Linked DNA regions of Caenorhabditis elegans. The protein of the gene in region 1 interacts with the protein of each later gene in a pairwise test. Each region holds a gene or a part of one and is shown on either strand. Other genes may lie near its edges.

Region 1 (5,814 bases):
TCAATATGTCACAGGGAGATGTCAGGCTTACATACCTCGATAAGCAGTATGTCGCACAGATGTATGTCTATCAGATGGCAGCGCTGCTTTGCTTTGAACGTCGCGATGCTATCCTCGTTAAGGACATCGGAGAGGAGATTGGTGTGAGCGGTGACTATCTGCTAAAGACGATTCGAACGATTTTGGACGTTACCCTGCTGACGTGTGATGATCAGAATCTAACGGCCGACTCGTTGGTTCGTCTGAACATGTCGATGACGTCGAAACGGATGAAGTTCCGGCTTCAGGCGCCACAAGTGAATAAGGCTGTCGAGAAGGAGCAGGAGGCCGTCGCGAATACTGTAGGGTTTTCAGTTTGTTTTTCATTGGCGAGGGCCTCAAGTTATGACTTTTTGAGTTCAAGCACTAAAAATCTGTATTTTATTTAGTCCTAGACTTTAAAAATTTTTAAACGATCTCAAAAACCAAGTTTTAAAATGAGACACCTTGAAAAATTCTCAGCATTTTTATGACGGTGGAAATTAAAACAAGCCAAGCTCAACTAAAATCTCAAATGCTGAAAAATCTTTAATAAAGAGTTTAGGTGTTTTTTCGAAATTTTAAACCTTCGTAAAATTTTTTTAAATGTCTCACTATGAAATTTGGTCTTTTGTGGAAACTTTGAGTCAATTCAATCAATTAAACAATTTATCTGCTCCCTTTTTGAGCCAATGAGCCTAAATCAAAGCTATAAACTGTGGCCTAGAATTCTGAGAGACTAGACGTATTTAGTTAGGCCCCGCCTCGATGCAGCTAGATTATCCAAACACGTGTGCCTCGCAATCGTCAATATTAGTTCCAGGTTTCACAAGACCGAAAGTACTATATGGAGTGCGCAATTGTCAGAATTATGAAGACCAGGAAGGTTCTGAAACACAATGCACTTGTCACTGAGGTTTGTTAGATTTTTGTTGTTGGTCAAAACCCTGTAAAACGAGATATTCAACCGACTGAAAATGCTTTACAAAAATATTTTTGTTTGAATTTTGAACCAAGAAACTGAAAATCAAAAAGTGGATTTTCCTCCAAAAAAGAAAAACAAACAATTTTAGAAACAGTTTTTGGTCCGGAACCCCCCAAAAAAAAGCGAAAAAAATCTTTTTGCAAAATGTGCTATTCCACATCAAAAATGCGGAAAACAACATTTTCTTGCAGATAATGGACCAAACGAAAGGCCGCTTCTCGCCCGACGTACCATTCATCAAAAAGAGCATTGAGGACCTTATCGAGAAAATGTATATTCAGCGAACCGATCAAAATGACGAGTATCAATATTTGGCCTAATTCTCTCCCCCTATTTGCGTGTTTTTTCCCTGAGAGGCAAAAAACTAAAATTTAAAATTTACACTGTGTAAATGACTCTGAAACATGCCATTCAAAATCCCCACTATAATTTTATTTTTCAAGATTTTCTAACAATGATTGCTTTTTTTCCAAATTGAACTGTACTGAAAGTAAATCCCCTCGCCCCTCATCTTACATATTTTATATCATTTTTTGCTGGAGCTGCGCAACGGGGAATCATCAAACTGTTTATTGGAATACCTATTTTTATACTTTTGGAGCCCTCAAAAACTGAAAATCGCGGGAAATTCTCTGTTACTCCCGACAAACGGCTATTTGCCTATAAAACCAACCAGTCCGTAGCCTCTCCTTGAAAATGTATATGTACTATATTTGTCTTTTTTTTGTGTTCTATCCTCCCTCCTCAAGCAACTATTTTTTCTCCGGAATCTCTATGATTACGATAAAGTAGACAATTATCCTTCCCAAAATTCCAATTTTGTTTCATTTAAATTTTCACGTTTTTGAACTTGAACTTTGATCCACGACACTCTTACGGCACGTGGCAAGTCATAATGGAAAATTTGAACGTCGGTAGTTTTAAATTTATTACTGCGAAAAGAATCGATCAGCGATGCCACGTGTCAAAGTGTTCTTCGATATCACGATTGGCGGAAAGAAGGGAGGACGCATCGTTATGGAGGTAAGGGGGGCAGCGTTAGGTTCTCGGAGCAAATATGATTACTGTAGGCGCTAGTGGTATGTCAGTTTGCACTTTAATGAGTATAAATTGAGAAAATCGATATAATTTTTTGTTGCCATTTATCGATTTTTGTCGTTCTGTTATCGGTTTTTAGGATGATTGTAAAATCTTTTTCAATGGTCTTGCAGAAATTTGCCAGTTTTTCGACTTTTCAGGAAGTTACTAGATTTTGGCAACATTTAAAAATCAATAAACTAAAGATTTTTAAAACCTGTCGTTGCAGCTCTACAACGACATCGTGCCGAAGACAGCGGAAAACTTCCGCGCTCTGTGCACCGGCGAGAAAGGAAAAGGGAAATCGGGCAAGAAGTTGCACTTTAAAGGATCCAAATTTCATCGCATCATCCCCGAGTTTATGATCCAGGGCGGCGATTTTACGGAGGGAAACGGCACCGGCGGAGAATCGATTCATGGCGAGAAGTTTGACGACGAGAACTTCAAGGAGAAGCATACCGGACCCGGAGTCTTGTCGATGGTGAAGATTCTGAAAAACTAAAAAATCGATATTATATTTACTCAAGTTATCGATTTTTCTGTTATTGTCGATATTTGATCAAATTTTCTTTGAAATTTTTGTGAATATCGGGCTTTCTGAAATTTTATGCGCTCTGGAATTGACTATTGATTTTTCAGGCAAACTGTGGGGCGAACACAAACGGCTCGCAATTCTTCCTGTGCACAGTCAAAACCACGTGGCTAGACGGAAAACACGTGGTTTTCGGCAAAGTGATCGAAGGAATGGATGTGGTGAAGGCGATCGAGTCGAAAGGATCCGAAGATGGGGCACCGTCGGCTCCGTGCGTCATTGCTGACTGCGGAGAAATGAAGTGATGCTTCTCGAAGAACAACACTGGAGAATTCGTCTTTTTATTGGATAAATATGATTTTTATTCATTTTTTTAACAAAGCATAGTTTTTGATACGTGAATTCGAAAGACAATGATTCGTGAAGTTTTTAATCGTATTTACAGTGGGGGGACCACTTTATATCTCTAAAGTTTATTAGAATTTTAAATATTATGTCTCAGCCTCAAAAGCTTTGTGATTTTATGGCAAACAAACTCCGGGGATGCAAGTTTGTGGAATTTTGACGGAGTCCCTCATACAAGGCTGCCGCGTGGATTTTTAGAGGGCTCTTTCAATTTTGAAGTCAAACTTTCACGTTTTCAGCAAACTCTAGTTTTATATCAATATATTTACTTCCACAAATCAGAGGCCCCCGAACTAACTTTCCATGAAGTCTCTTTGCTGAAATGTCAGTCGTTTTTTTGTTGCGTGAATTTTCTAGAAATTGCCCAGCCGCCTACACGAATTCCGTCAGAGATATAAAAGTAACAAAAAAAAGTTGAAAACCGCGTGGTGACGTATGTACAGTTCTCTCTGGATGCCTACGTCTCTTATCATCACCACCGCTATTTTCGGTCAAAAACTGAGAGGGAGAGAAAAAGAGAGGCAGATGGTCAATAAGAGACGCAGAGAAAGAGCAGTGATGACTCCCCCAATCAAGAGTGCTTACTGACTTTTTCCCCATAGTTTTATATAGCACTGTTTTTTCTTGCATTTCTTTCATTTTTGAGTAAATTGATTTGTAGCAAAAATACTTTGAAAATCGATAAAAATAAGCTTTAAAAAAATTTTACAGACGTTTTTCCTGTAAATAAACTTCGCCAGTGTCTTGGCTTTTCAAGAACCAATATAAATATGGACGAGTTCTTTTCTTATCTCTAACTGAGTGAATTGTAAAAAGGTATCGTTAGCAAGCTTTTTTTAAATCTGAAAACAGGCTCCGCTCAAATCTGCGGTACTATTACGAGAACAATAAATCATGAGAATGCGTACGTGGAGCATTTTATTTTTTTATATCGATATCACTTAGCGAAAACTACAGTAAGAACTCAAATAACTATTGTTATTTAAGTTCTTACTGTAGTCTTCGCTAAGAGATATGACAAATAAAATGCTCCACATACGCATTCTCATGATTTATTGTTCCCGTAATAACTGTATACAGCAAATCCTGTGTTTTTCTCAAAATAGGCTGCTCCCATTCATTGGCTTTTTAGTTTATAATCGGACACTTTGGATTTAGAAACTCAAAAAAACCAAGATGTGCGGATTGCTTGTCATTTAACTTGTCAACCTTACTATGTATTAGCCTAGTGTTTACAGCAGGCATGTGGGGCAAATCTGAAAATTGGCCGAGCAGGGCGAAATTGGCAAATTTGCCGTGCATTTTATGTTATTTTACTAAACTTTGGGAACAAAATCTATTGTTTTGCTCAAAATTGAACGCCGTGCCCGGCAAATTTGGCAAATTTGGCAAATTTGCCAAGATCGTCAAACGGCAAATGAGGCAAATTTTCCGCACAAAACTTTGTGTAAATACCATGTTTTTTATTTCAAAATATTCAAAAAAAATCAATTTTTTTGGCAAAGAAAACTATTGTTATGCCCAGGGGTACGTGTCAATTGCCGTACGGTAAACGAATTTTCGGCAATTGCTGAAATTGCCGATTTACGAAAATCAGAATTGCCCGAACTGTAAGTTTGAAACTTTTTATAGATGTAAGAGCCTAAACACGCATTTTACTGAACAATTATCTCTTTTCAAGCTCAAAATGATTTAATCTAATTGTAAGGATTGACAGTTTTGTTTTCGAAAATGACAAACCGAATACTAAAATACAAGGTGACATTTTTTTTTCAATTTCCGAAATATAACTAGTTTTGAAAATTGCCGAACATTTCTGATTGCCGCGCACACCTGGTTGTGTCGTTGAATTTTATTTAATAAATTTAAAGTTTTAAAAACTCTTCCAACAAATGTGTTGTCAAAAAAAAAGGTTCCTGGTCGATTGGATCGTTATCCGGGACAGTAAGTGTGTCTCGTGTTGTTCAGTGTCACTTTCATTTCTGTTTTTACTTTCTCCAGCAATTTCTTCACTTTCCATCTCCCTCCTCGAATTTCTCTTCTCATAAGCATTTCCCTTTTCCTATCAGGATTTTCGATTTTTTTAAACGAAATGCGAAAACTAATGGTGGTGGAGGTCCTGGAACTTCCCCGCTTTCATGGTATTTCTTCTTTCTACACTTTTAATCACGTTACTTTTTCTAGTAGTTGTACATATATTTTTGAAAAAAAAATTGCCGAAAATTTCCAATGATTTGGCAATTTTTTTTGAATTATCTATTGTTTGAATTTTAAAAATATATAACTTTTCTTTGAGTATTTTAATAATTATTGATTTTTCAACATTTTCATAATCTGGATTTTGTCGGTGTACCTAAATTTTATTTTCGACTGCATTACAATGTTTGTGGCATATGACGTTTGGAAATATTTTGAAAATTCGAGATCTTTTTTATTAAAAACTTGAAAAAAATTTGCATCAGTTTTCGAATCGGAAAACTTTTCCCCAAAGATTTCATTTTGCAAAACTATATAATAAAACTAATTTTTTGAATTTTCTCGATTTCTCCAACTTTGGCATTCACCGAGTTGTTTTTACTATTAGTTAAATCGGCAAAAGGCTTATTTTTTAAATATCTATTTCTCCTTTCTACAACCATTAAAAAATTTGCGAAATTACCATGGAAATACCGTACAAAATACCAGGGTCCCACGTTTGCGTTTTATAAACCTTTTCCAAGATTTCATATTTTTCCGACAATATTTTTGAGGCGCATATAAGAACTATTTCCATGGTGCATCAAAATGTGTTTTACAC
Region 2 (6,806 bases), on another chromosome or scaffold:
TCCGGGCATTGTGTCGTCGGCGCTGATGTAGGTAGGACTGAAAAATTGATTTTTTGGAGATTTCTTTCATGCCAAAAAAATCACATTATCACTGCAACTTTTTCCTCACGAGGGACGAGGAAAAGTGGTTTCTAGGCCATGGCCGAGGGGCCGACAAGTTTCAGCGGCCATTTATGTTGCTTTGTTTTCCGCCTGTTTTCTTTCGTTTTTCATCGATTTTTTTCGTTTTTTCTTAATAAAACTGATAAATAAATATTTTTTGCAAATGCTAAAACAATTTCCAAGTAAAAAATCATGTATTTAGTGGGCAAGCAGCGGTGAAAGTGGGCATTGTAATATGATGGATTACGGGAATACAAAACCTAAACTTTTTCTGAAACATGATACATATGCTGCTTAAATGCTGAGACTACCTGATTTTCATAACGAGACCGCTGAAAAAGTTTTGAGGTTTCCAAAATTCAACTTTTTTGGTGAAAAAGTCGAGATTTTCGCACAAAAAGTTGAATTTTGAAAACCTCAAAACTTTTTCAGCGATCTCGTTATGAAAATCAGGTAATTTCAGCATCTAAGCATCATATGTATCATGTTTCAGAAAAAGTTTAGGTTTTGTATTCCCGTAATCCATCATTTTACATTGACCACTTTCACCGCTGCTTGCCCACTGAATACATAATTTTTTCACTTGGAAATTGTTTTAGCATCTGCAAAAAATATTTATTTATCTGTTTTATTAAGAAAAAACGAAAAAAACACGTGGAAAACAAAGCAAGATAAATGGCCGCTGAAACTTGTCGGCCCCTCGGCCATGGCCTAGAAACCACTTTTCTTCGTCCCTCGTGAGGAAAAAGTTGCAGTGAAATTCAGTGAATAAAAACCAATTTTTGTGAAATTTTTTTGCAAAATTTACGGTTTTTCTGCCAAAAAAAAAATGCTAAACCTATAACATCCAATTCTGTACAACTCCCGAGTGACGTCATCCAACTGATCTCCCGTCAGTGCTCTCCATTTTCTCTCCCTCTCCGGCTCATCGAGCTCCGGATCATCAAGCGTCTGCACATCGATCTTTCTCCGAACTTTCTTCGATATTTTCTCATCATCCTCATCCTCCTCCTCCTCTTCTTCCTCTTCCTTCTGAATTTTCACTTGTGGTGGAACTTCAGCCACCGGGAGGAGCTCTTCCGACTCCTGCTGCTGAATCTCCTTTTTCTGCTCTTCCTTAATTATTGCCAACTGGAGCCGGAGCACACGGCCGTGATGCTCGCGGAGTCGCTTCCGCGCGATAAAAACCTTCAGCTGATCGTCCAAATCCTGCCAGTAACCCTTGTTTCCACTGTTTCCGCGGATTTTTGCGTCCATTTGGTCTTCCAGTTTGAGCAGCTCATCGATTGATTTGTTCTGGAAAAATTCGGGGGAAAATTGAGTTTTTTTTTTCAGAGTTTTCGGCTCAAATTGCGATAAAAAAGACAATTTTCCGCAAAAAATTACTGAAAATAAGTTATAAAAGCCGTTTCAAAATGTTTTTTTTTTGATTTTTCAATGAAATTGACAAAACTGACAAAAATCATGCTCTTAGCTTGAATTTTTTTGGTTTTTTTCCTCGAAATCTGTACTTTTTTTGGATTTTTTGGGTGGGCGGCAAACAAGTTTTCCGGCAACTCGGCAAACCGGCAAAATGCCGGAATTGAAATTTCCGGCAAATTGGTAAAATGCCGGAATTGAAATTTCTGGCAAATTGGTAAAATGCCGGAATTGAAATTTCCGGCAAATTGGTAAAATGCCGGAATTGAAATTTCCGGCAAATTGGTAAAATGCCGGAATCGAAAATTCCGGCAAATTGGTAAAATGCCGGAATTGAAAATTCCGGCAAATTGGTAAATTGGCGGAATTGAAATTTCCGGCAAATTGATGAATTGCCGGAATGGAAACTTCTGGCAAATTGGTACAATGCCGGAATTGAAATTTCTGCCAAATTGGTAAAATGGCGGAATCGAAAATTCCGGCAAATTGGTAAAATGCCGGAATTGAAATTTCCGGCAAATCGGCCAGTTGGCTGAATGGAAAATACCGGCAAATTGATGAAATGCCGGAATTGAAATTTCCCGCAAATCGGCAAGTTGGCGGAATGGAAAATACCGGCAAATTGATGAAATGCCGGAATTGAAACTTCCGGCAAACTGGTAAATTGGCGGAATTGAAATTTCCGGCAAATTGGTTTGCCGAATTTGCCGAAAATGTTCGGCAAATGTGGTTTTGTACTTTTTTCTTTTTTGAAAAGTGAGCAAAATAGGAAATTTTCAGCTCTTTTTTCAAAAACTTGGCTGGAAATCAGTAAAATCGCTTGAATTCCAGATTTTTCCGTTAAAATCAGCAAAAATAATTGTTTTTTTTTTAAATTTAATTTTCATTGTTTTGTCAATTTTTCACAAACGTGACCATTTTTTTCCAAAAAAAAAAACCACGTCCCTTCAGAAATTCTCGACTATTCGAATCAGTTTGAGAAATTGTTTTCACTCAAAACGTTCAACAAGAGGCAAATTCGACGAAAAATGGACACAATGGAGCAGCATCAGGAGCTTGAGCAAGAAGCCATCGGACCGGCTCTTCCACCGCCGTCAGCTGCTCAAAAATCGGAGCTCTTCGAGGAGCACAACGTCGAGTACGAGCTGATCAACGGGATCCCGTGCTACCAGCCGGATCATGTGGTCGACGGGCAAGTTCAGGTAAGGAATGACTCGAAAATCTTGTGAAAAACCCAGGAATTTCCCGCAAAATTCTCAGGTTTTCGTCGTTTTTCAAGCACATTTGCCACGTGGCCGCGAACAATTCGGTGGCCGAGTTTTCTCTTTCCCGGCCACGCAGCGAAGGTTGTGGCTGGGCTTGGGCTTCTTAACTCAGGCTTCCCGTCTTTGTCCGGACTTTTTTTTAGCGAAAAAATCACCAAAAAATGCAGTTTTTGGCACTGTCGATTAGGGGTGGGCGGCGATTGCCGTCCGGCAAATTTTTTTGCCGATTTGCCGGAAATTTTCAATTCCGGCAATTTGCCGATTTGCCGGAAATTTGTGATTTTCGGCAAACTGCCGGTTTAGTGATTTGCCCGAAACTTTCAATTCCGGCAATTTGCCGATTTGCCGGAAAATTTTGATTTTCGACAAACTGCCGGTTTGGTGATTTGCCGGAAATTTTCAATTCCGGAAATTTACCGATCTGCCGGAAAATTTTGATTTTCGACAAACTGCCGGTTTGGTGATTTGCCGGAAATTTTCAATTCCGGAAATTTACCGATCTGCCGGAAAATTGTGATTTTCGGCAAACTGCCGGTTTGGTGATTTGCCGGAAATTTTTCATTCCAGAAATTTGCCGATTTGCCGGAAAATTGTGATTTTCGGCAAATTACCGATTTGCCGGAAATTTTAGCGATTTTCCGCAAAACTGCTAGTCTTTGGAAAAGTGAAAAAAAAACTCAGAAATTCATCGATTTTCCCAATTTTCCAAAAATTAAACCACAATTTCCAGATCTTCGAACGAATCGGCTACGACGACAAGGTCGGCGGAACGTTCCTCGGGCTCAGCGCCGACGGAAAAGAGCTCGTCGTCCGCGTCGCACCGATCGACGCGCTGACTCATGTGGTTCGTGCCGAGGCGGCATTCCTGTGCAAGGTGGAAGCCGAGCTTCAGGACTGGCGGCTCTTCTCGCAAGTTCACAAGATCTTTCTGACCGACGACGCGTGGCACATGTCGCTGTACTTCCGTGGTGGACCGACGTTGGAGCAGTGCTTTGCGATGCGGAACAAGTTCACGCTTGGGACGGCTGGACGCTTGGCCGAGGATGTGCTCAATGTTAGTTGGCTCCTGGAGGTCCTAGCTGGAATCGCTCTGAAGCTTGAACGGGCTGTCTAGGCTTCTGGCGGAGCTTGAGCTCCCGTGTTGGCGCTGGAACGCCTGCCTACCTGCCTGGCTTCATGGCGATCTCAGGCAGGCGCCTGCCTACCATGGAAGCCTCAATTTCAGCTTATTTTGCTTGAAATCTCCAGAATTTCTGTCAATTTCACGGAACTTTGTAGAAATTCTTGATAAACTGCTCATTTTTAGGTGATCCGATGTGCTCACAAGCATGGCTACCTCGTCCGCAACATGGATCTCAACAGCTTCCACTACGATGCGGCAAGCCGTCACCTCTTCATGGCGGACATCTCGTCTTTGGTCAAGAACATTTCTGGTGATGATGGAGCTCCGATTGCTAGCTACGCTGGCTGCTTGGATTATGCTCCGTGCAGTGACGATGGTCTTGTTGGCGCCCGGCAGGATCTCGAGACATGGTTCTACCAGCTGGTTCACCTGGTGCTCGGCGAGCTCCCATGGGGAAGTCTGAGCCGCGAAGAGGCTGGAGTCAAGAAGGCCGAGTTCCAGAAGAGCAAGGAATTCGCGGAGCTTCCAGAGGTGTTCCACAAGATTGCCGAAGTGGTTATCGCCAAGGAATACTCGGTTGTCGAGGAGGAGGAATATGTCAAGTTGGCAGGGCTCACGGAGCAAATCTACAAGGAGCTCGGAGGTGTGACGGATCACGAGGAGAATATGGATTTCGAGCGGGAGCCGACGCCGGATGAGCTTCCACGTTTTGTGGCGTGCCGTGCCGATGAGATTCCGACGATCGCGGAGGAAGAGGAGCCGGCGGTTGAGGAAGAGAACTCGGAATAGGGATTGAAATTTGAATAAAATTTAAATATTGTGCGGAAAATAGGGTCAATTTTTGGGCTTTTTGCCGGAGGATTTTTAAAGTTTCAAGTTAATTTTTCAGCATTTTCAGGCACTCTACCTTGAACATATTCTGAACTTCTGTCTGCACACTCGCATGCACATCACCTCGATTCTGTGCGGCCTTCTTCTGAATCTCGTCTTCGGCGATTCGTGTAACATCCATCCACCAAGTCTCGTTTTTGGCCCATCCGTCGACTTCTCTGTACGTTTTGATGTCCTCGATGAGATCCTCGTAGTCGTCGACTGATTTGCATGAAGCTGGAAGAGAAAATTGGGTTTTCTAGGCCACCACTTTTGAAGTCCTCTCGGACACAATTTTAAAGTTTTATATACTTTTTTTTTAGGATTTTGAAAGTGAAAAAAACGCTTCTTCAACTGGAAAAAGTAACTTTTTGTAAGTAACTTCTCCTCTCGGACAATTCTTGGAATTTTAAATTTTTTTTCCAATTTTTTTCTGAAAAAAGCGTGTAAATTTTCTAAAAATTGATGTGAATTGGACTTTTTCGATTAAAAATCTCAGAATACGCAAAATTTCAGAATTTTAGGGCTTTTTGGCAGGAAAAAATTGGGATTTTTGCCGAATTTCAGAGTTTTAAATATACTTTTTAGTACTTTCGAGGAAAAAAATGATTCTTAAACTGAAAAAGTGGTTTAATTTTGAAAAATATGAATTTTGACTCCTCTCGGACAAAATTTTGCTGAATTTTAGAGTTTTCAGGGAAAAACCGACAAAAATGAATTTTTAAAAGAAAATTAAATAGTTTTTTCTTGGAAAATTAATTTCCGCTACTTAATATGAATTTTGTACTCCTCTCGGACAAAATCTTGAAGAATTTCGGCAAAAATCGAGAAAAACCAGTTTTTTTCTGGAAAAAAATCGAGTAAATTTTTAAAATATGGCGTCATCAAGTTTTCTAGGCCACCGTGTACTCCTCTCGGACAAAATATTGAGGAACTTCAGCAAAAATCGAAAAATCCTGTTTTTTCAGGTTTTTTCTGGAAAAAATCGAGTAAATGTTTAAAATATGACGTCATCAAGTTTTCCAGGCCACCGTGTACTCCTCTCGGACAAAATATTGGGGAATTTCGGCAAAAATCCTGTGTTTTTCAGTTATTTCAGGAATAAGTTGGGCTTGTGTTGAAAAAATCGATTTTTTTTCCAAATTTTCACGATTTTCAGTAGATCATCTCTCTACCTTTAAGGTATTCCATGGGATTTTCGAGCTCAAAATCGGGAATTTTCGCCGTATGTGGATTCTCGTCGGCAAATCTCGCATATCTCGACAGCAAATCGATCGCCTTGGCTCGGCCCTGATCGATACGAATCCGAGTTCGCTCCTTGATCTGATCCATTTGAAATTCGCGCTCTTTTGTGTCGGAAATTTGTCCGGCACGGAGATCCGCGTCACGTTTCATCATTTCCATGTCTTCCTTGGCGGCGGCTCGCGAATCACGTATACGCTTGAATTCGGCGGCTTCGTGCAGGTTTTTTCGGATCCGTTGGCTTGTTCTGGAAAACCGATCGTTTTTTTTTCAATTTTAAGGTCAAAAATCGAATTTTTTGACACTTTTCTTCGATTTTCTACCAAAAACTCACTGTTTAGTGATCTCATCCTGTGTCAGACCACTTTTTCCCTCTCTTTCCAACTTTTTGCCCCAGACAAACGTCTGGGTGAGCTTTGTGTCGTTGAATGGATTATTAAGATTCGTATAATTGAGCTCTGGCGGAATCAGCGTGTCCTCTGCGTCGGCATCCTTTCGTTTCGCGTCTTTTCGCATCTTTTTCTCCATTCGACGGGCTCGTTTCTCCTCGGCCGACTCGTTTTTCTTCATTTCTTCCTTTTGACGGCGTTTCTCATCTTTTTTCAGCGATCTTTGCTCGGCAAGCCGCTTCTGAAGCCGCTCTTCGTCAGAATCGGACGTTGAAGGCGATCTCTCTCGTCTTCTGCATTTTTTTCGATGATTTTCGTGAATTTTATGATGATTAATTGACTTACCGTTCTTTTTTATGCTTTTTGGAATCTTTTCCCATAGTGAACACGTGAAAT

Evidence for each region.
Region 2: the proteins of cyn-2 (region 1) and K09E4.1 interact in a two-hybrid assay, tested with the Caenorhabditis elegans proteins (one large-scale study listed by BioGRID).

The regions. Positions count from the first base shown.
Region 1 is NC_003281.10:13,690,775-13,696,588, forward strand, and holds cyn-2 (Peptidyl-prolyl cis-trans isomerase 2), read left to right. Parts: upstream 1-1,893; 5' UTR 1,894-1,957; coding exon 1,958-2,026; intron 2,027-2,309; coding exon 2,310-2,561; intron 2,562-2,719; coding exon 2,720-2,917; 3' UTR 2,918-3,037; downstream 3,038-5,814. Other genes in the region: cul-2 (Cullin-2), read left to right, coding at 1-341, 842-934, 1,195-1,323. UniProt on the Caenorhabditis elegans protein: PPIases accelerate the folding of proteins. It catalyzes the cis-trans isomerization of proline imidic peptide bonds in oligopeptides.
Region 2 is NC_003280.10:14,135,337-14,142,142, forward strand, and holds K09E4.1 (Protein kinase domain-containing protein), read left to right. Parts: upstream 1-2,501; 5' UTR 2,502-2,549; coding exon 2,550-2,723; intron 2,724-3,516; coding exon 3,517-3,840; intron 3,841-4,092; coding exon 4,093-4,698; 3' UTR 4,699-4,734; downstream 4,735-6,806. Other genes in the region: cacn-1 (Splicing factor Cactin), read right to left, coding at 1-37, 941-1,398, 4,817-5,016, 5,955-6,268, 6,356-6,703, 6,756-6,790.